Linked DNA regions of Arabidopsis thaliana. The protein of the gene in region 1 interacts with the protein of each later gene in a pairwise test. Each region holds a gene or a part of one and is shown on either strand. Other genes may lie near its edges.

Region 1 (2,847 bases):
AGTCTTCCGACCACTATGGATCTCGCTCCGCTAAGGTTCCCCAACAATCCATGGAGTCCGTTTGTGACAGCAATTCTCACTTTGAAGATGCCGATTCTGAGATTGAAGACCCCCTTCAAGATGATGCCTCCGCAGCTGATTGCAAAGAAGATGAGACTTGGCAATTGGAACAAGAAAGGTTGAAGCTGATCGAAGAGACTGATGCTCTGAGGAAACAGCTCTTAGACAAGGACGAAGAGAAGAGAGAGGTCATCAGACAGCTTTCTCTAACCCTTGAGACCCTCAAAGACGAGAACTTGAGCCTCAAGAGACGCCTTGCCCACCATTCTCTCAAGCAACGCACCGTTTTGGAGTTCAAGCCACTAAACAAGTTCTTTGGGAAGCTGTTTTACATTATGTGCGATGGCAACAAGGTCCTTTAGGTTGGCTCATCTACCTCATGAGCTTAGCTTCGATATTTTCTGTGGTTCATTTCACTGTTTATCAAGATATATCCTGTCCTTTCCGTGCTGTATTATAACCGGTAATTATCCTACTTAATAATGCATGCTGTTCTGATTTGTTCAATCACAAGAACCCAGTTTCAGACAAGGACATGTGATGAGTGATACATAATTGGATGATCAATCAATTTTGACTTTGAGGCACAAAAAACACACACTATCACTGCTACCAAGTACAACAACTGCGCACTAGCCCAAACTGCAGAGTGCTTTATGAGCAAATCTCACACGAACGAACACTAGAAGAAGCTATATTAATATTACATGAAAAAAATTCAGAAGAAGCAGAGAGTAAGAAAGAATACATTTGTGAATATTTGGTTTCTGCTGATGATATTGTGTAGAGTGCTGCTTACTCGCTGTTTCTATATGATTACTAGAAGAAACTGCAGAAAGCTAGTAGCAACATGAGTAGGACAAGAAGCAGAGATGAGAGTTGTGATGAGACCAAACAAACAGAGGAAGAAGCTGGAAGAGGAGATCCAACTGGAGAAACTTCGAGCAGAGGATCAGGAGTGACAGCATCTGGGTTTGGTGGACTAAGGCTTGAGGGGATTGTCGGCATGATAGACGATTCCGACGGGGAAGGAGACATTTCGCTTGAACCTGGAGTAGGGAACAGGGGAGAGGTATCTGGAGACATGGCCGGGGTAGAAGCTGAGAAACTCGATGGAGCTTCAGGCAAGAACGAAGGTGCAGCTGATATGGTGGACAGCTGAAACTCAGATGTTGAAGTGTGTAAACAGAGTGAGAGAACGGTGAAGGCAGTGAACAGAGAGACGGACATGGTTACTGTGAATGTCTCTCCTGCTTCTCTGAGAATGTTTCTGAGAGACCTTAAGAAACTGAAGAAGAAAAAGGTATACAGCTATAGAGGAGGTAAAAGACAAGATTGGTGGGTTTGGTTGTGGACCTCTGGCTTAGGGCAGAGCACATGAAATATGGATTTGTCGGGTTTTGATTTGTGTCGGAGTGTTTGTATGTTTTGATTTTGTGAATAAAAAGTTATTAAAAAAGCAAAGTAGAGTCCCGTGAAGCTCTTCCCTCAAATATAGAAATGAGTGCCAGCTTTTAACTTGCTATGCTTTTTCCTGATCTGCAACAATCTTAGGTTTATTGTCAGTTGATGAAGACAATAGAATTGGTAAAAAGGAAGCACCGATTCACTGATATATATATATATATATATATATATATATATATATATTACAGTCACAGAAGACATTGCTGCATTTCATTTTCTCATAGAAAATCAGACACTGAATAATTTGTTGACTTTTGTCGAGATTCTGGCAATGCTTTTAGCAGTATACATTCATCTGAACACAATGGCCGAGCATTCTCATGGCCAACTTTCTATTAAACTCAATCCATAGAGGTTTGAATAAAGAAGAAAGAATTCACTAAACTTTGAGTTTGAGCAGCACAAGACCTTATGAATGAGGATGAAGCTGAAAGCTTTCCCATATGTTCGGGGAAGCTGTATGAGCTTTCAGTGGTTTCCATCTGCGGACGCCTTTTCGAATATTTTATGCCCACACCAGTCCATCAAAGCCGATTTCCAGATTTGACACAGGGCTGTCTCCAATACCTTGGTCAAGCGCTTGGGTGTCATCTATTGGATCAACATATGGCTCGAGCAGATCAGCGGATCTTTCCGAGGGAATTCCATAATCTTTGAGGATGCACAAGGAAGCAGAATTTGAAGCTTCCCTCTCCAACACAGCAACATAGTTGTCTTCGAACTCAAAAACTAGATACTTATCTTTGCACATATCAATGAGATGTGCCAAGTGATGGATGTTTCTTATTGGAATTCCATTGAACTTCAGGACCTGCTGGTTATTCATGTCCTCATAGCCGATGTTTACTTCATTTGCCAATACCTATAGATATGCTCGTCGAGTGAGTTAGTTATTAAATTATTGTTGCACTCACCAAAATGCACATTGAATTAAGAACTCATTATCCTCCGAGGGATTACCTGTGATAGGATGACGATTTGTTCTCCTCTGAACCTTGCCACAGAGTAGCGTGCCTTTGTTAACAATTTCAACTGCAAATCGGAAGGAAAAACTAAACTGTTATAGTGGATTCACAAATTAAACTAAGAGACAGTTTAGTAGAGTGAGCTTACGCCTATGGTATCCTCACACTCCTCCCTGGTTATACATTTAAAAAAAGGAGGAAACAGTTAGGCATTTGGGAAATAATGAAGAAGGTTTCGGTTTACTTTTGCATCTTAGCAAGCCGAGAAGAACATACTCTATCAGGGGTTCTGAGAGCGGAGTAAACACCAAACCAGCAACTATAATGTATGATGGCTGACCTCCATCAATATGGT
Region 2 (3,756 bases), on another chromosome or scaffold:
GGTTCCTCTCTCTTAATTGGATAATGTATTTCGCTTGCAATCATTCAGATGCTTCACCTGAAACCGGAGAGAGTATTATTATGAATGAAGAAATTGCCATCTTCATTGATAATGAGATCCGTCTTCTAGATTCTTCTATGACCGTTCCGGATACCAAATTTGAAGATTTTCAAGCTCAAGCATTGCATGCTGCTGTCTACACGCTATGGCTGACAAAGGTAACAGTGGTCTCTTCTTGTCCAAATAAAGTCATCAAAAAAATTGCCACTATTGTCAATCTCACAAGTGCAGAAAAATAGATTGGGAGTTTTCCGTATAGCAGAACGATAGAAATATGGTTGACTTTGATTTCTGATATGCATTCGTTTATAAGCAGAGCATTCCAGTACTGTGGAGAATGCTCGAGGAGAAGCTTGGAACAGAGAAAGTGAAGTGTGTACTGAACACAATTGCTCAAGAGAGACCCTCGCTTCTGCATCATTTGGTGAATGTCTGAAGACCCTCCATAAATTGGTGTCAAACCATGTCTCAGGATCTGTTTGAATTGTTTTTTTTTTTTTTTTTTTTTTTTTTTTTTTCTATTTTCGCCGATATAGCTTAATGAGTTGATTAATGAAGAAGTTGGCCGAGAAATCTCTGTCATCAAGTGTTACACGAGTCTTCGAGTGGTGTAACCAAACCTATTAAAAAAATGAATGAAGGTTATATAAGCTTCCAAAACCAGATATGTCGTATTCCGTAGAGACAAACGAGACCGTCACAGCTATCAAAGGGAACTAAGTATATTGTGTCCTCCTTCGCCTTCTCCCAAGGAGTAGGGATCTTGACCGATGATGAGGAACCCAACACCAGTGTAGTTAGATGTTTTATATCCGGTTTACAATAATCGTCACGCCATATGGAGACCATGAGACAAACGAGACCGTCACAGCTATCAAAGGGAACGCCATATGGAGACCATGAGAACATCTGGATCACCTGATTGCTGACGCTCTGTCAACTGTCTTTGTTGGAAGAATGGAGATTCGATAATTGATTTCCATTGTTTAGACACGGCCTTTGAATCTCAGCAGAGAATCCACAGCAAGTCTCTCTAGGATGCACTCTACCACATCGTGGGGCAGCGATTCCGTCCTCGAGCAGCGTTGTTTTTACTTGTGATTGCAGACTAGTCCTTGTTGATGAATATACAGAGAGGCTTATTTGCTTTATAAGCAAGTAATCTCACAAATAAACTGGAAAGAGGAAACCTATCACTCTTTTACCTATTTCTTATGAGCTTTGAATAAAGATACTGACCGTTGGGAATATCAAACCGATAATTATGTAAAGATGCTAAACCAGTTATATGCATACCGCATCATAAAGCATGTATCATAATTCATAGTCACACCTAATAAAGAGAATCGAGTTATTATATAGTCATACATAATAAAGAGAATGAATAGTCAAATGGGCATAATTTAATATGACCGGTCCTTGTTATGGGGTAGGTCTCACACTCTCACCACGCGGATAATAGATATGCGACCTTTTTTAATTTTCCCGGGCAAAAACTGTTGTTAACTGTCAATGTTAATTCCACGTGTCACAATCGTATCGCTTTACAAAAATCTAACGGTCATAATTTCGCCGACAAGGTAGTCACTATCACAGGCTAAAAAGACCTTTGCCGACGAGATATTAGTTTGGGCCATTCACGTTATGCCACGTCACATGATCTGGCGATTCCACATTTACACCAACGTGGAGAATTTTGCCCAATGATTTTTTTCAGTTATCTTTCCGTCTAGAGAAATATCCTCACCAAAATAATAACATGTAATGTGTATACAGTATACCTAATCAATCATTATCTTTCTTTAATTTTGTTGGATTTTTTGCATATTGCAAAGTTTAGAACGCGAGCGAATTCTCCGCGGAATTGGGGTTAAAAGGAAGAACTTTTAGGGTTTTTGATTCTTCGGGTTTTCTCGTGCTTTGATTCCTTTCAAGTCAAAGCAAAGCATTACCTTTTCTCGTCCATGTAAGTCAGAATTGTTCAAATTATTGTTTTGTCTTTTCTTTTGTGGGTAAATTTTTTGTTCGAATTATCTACGATCTCGTTGTTTGTTGATTCTCCTCAATCTCCTCTTCGATTTTGATCGAATTTCATAATCTGGGCTTTGGTTTCGCTCGCTTTCTTGTTTCCATTGTCGTAGTGAGTTCTCTTCGCGAATCAAATCCTTTGATTCCTCTGTTTTTGGTGTTCTGGTTTTCTTAGGTTCTATGGAATCGTGGGTCGTTTTAGTTCAATCATAAATGACGATTGAGTTACATTATCTTATCATCAGCCACAACTTTTAAGAGTTGATTATATTTTGATCCCGTATCTTTGGTTGTTCCGAACATGGAAAGTTTTAGGTTTTTAGTTTTTTCATCCCTTGTCTAAGTAATCGCTGTTTTACAACTGATCAAGTGGCAAGTACGTTACTTATGCAACTTTTGAGATCAGTCCTTACTTGTTAGAGTAACCACAATTCATGTTTCAATGTTACCACATGCTTCATGGCCATATCTCTTATCCTAGATTATTTCTTGCTTTTCCTTACAGATCTTTTGACGACCTAAGTTTCTGCTGTGAATTGTTAAACAGCCATCAGCCTGGGCTTGATTAGCCAACCCTGTTAAGGCAGGGTTTGAACTAAAAGTGAGATAGTGAGATGGATGTCTCAGCACTTTTAACGTCTGCTGGGATTAATATAGCGATATGCGTAGTGCTTGTATCGCTTTATTCCATTCTACGAAAGCAGCCAGCCAATTATTGTGTTTACTTTGGTCGATTGCTTTCTGACGGAAGAGTTAAACGTCATGATCCTCGTTGGTATGAGAGGTTCGCGCCCTCTCCTAGTTGGCTCGTGAAAGCTTGGGAAACCACTGAGGAAGAGATGTTGGCTGCTGCTGGTCTGGATGCTGTGGTTTTCATCAGGATGGTCATTTGCAGGTTAATGATACTTCACCTATAACATGCTTACTGTAATTGAATAGACAAGCATGGTATTTTCTACTGTTTCTATGTTCCAGCACTTGTTTTATTTCTATGTGGTATTTGTGTGTTTCGTTCTTAACAACTCTCACAGTTGGGTTATCGTGTTTTTTTTAAACTCTGCAGCATTCGTATTTTCTCAATCGTCGCAGTCGTTTGCCTTGCCTTTGTGTTACCTGTTAACTATTATGGACAAAAGATGGAGCACAAGGAAGTCCATTTGGAGTCATTGGGAGTATTCACAATTGAGAACCTTAATCCACGCTCACGATGGTAAAGTGGCGGCATATAATATTAATATTATCAGATAATATGCATAGCCTGTTTTTCTATCTGATTATGTTTCTCTGTGCAGGAGAAGATAGATTGCCAGTATTTTGTACAATGAAGTGCTGATCCTTGTTTTACTATTTTTATTTCCAGGCTCTGGGTTCATTGTCTCTCATTGTACATCATATCCTCTGCAGCATGTGCTCTTCTTTACTTTGTGAGGATCTTATACCTTGGTTCATTTCACGCTTACTGTTTCTCTTTATTCCATCACTTCCTCATCGTTTTGGTCTCTCGTCTCTCTCTCTCACCCTGTTTATACGTGTTTCACCACTGTAGGAGTATAAGAACATAGCCAAAAAGAGGCTTGCCCATATTAGTGGATCTGCCTCAAAGCCAAGTCATTTTACTGTTCTTATTCGTGCTATTCCTCAGTCTCCTGACCAGTCCTACAGCGAGAC

What was found. The genes of interacting proteins can lie anywhere in the genome.
Region 2: the proteins of AGP26 (region 1) and AT1G10090 interact in a protein complementation assay, tested with the Arabidopsis thaliana proteins (one large-scale study listed by BioGRID).

The regions. Positions count from the first base shown.
Region 1 is NC_003071.7:19,616,340-19,619,186, forward strand, and holds AGP26 (arabinogalactan protein 26), read right to left. Parts: upstream 1,291-2,847; coding exon 880-1,290; 3' UTR 636-879; downstream 1-635. Other genes in the region: NET3C (Kinase interacting (KIP1-like) family protein), read left to right, coding at 1-422; AT2G47935 (uncharacterized protein), read left to right, coding at 911-1,210, 1,250-1,382, 1,716-1,879; DEG2 (DEGP protease 2), read right to left, coding at 2,033-2,389, 2,488-2,559, 2,641-2,665, 2,769-2,847. UniProt on the Arabidopsis thaliana protein: Proteoglycan that seems to be implicated in diverse developmental roles such as differentiation, cell-cell recognition, embryogenesis and programmed cell death.
Region 2 is NC_003070.9:3,294,218-3,297,973, reverse strand, and holds the start of AT1G10090 (Early-responsive to dehydration stress protein (ERD4)), read left to right. Parts: upstream 1-1,775; 5' UTR 1,776-2,026; intron 2,027-2,593; 5' UTR 2,594-2,702; coding exon 2,703-2,983; intron 2,984-3,151; coding exon 3,152-3,298; intron 3,299-3,448; coding exon 3,449-3,512; intron 3,513-3,634; coding exon 3,635-3,756. Other genes in the region: AT1G10095 (Protein prenylyltransferase superfamily protein), read left to right, coding at 1-218, 377-496. UniProt on the Arabidopsis thaliana protein: Acts as an osmosensitive calcium-permeable cation channel.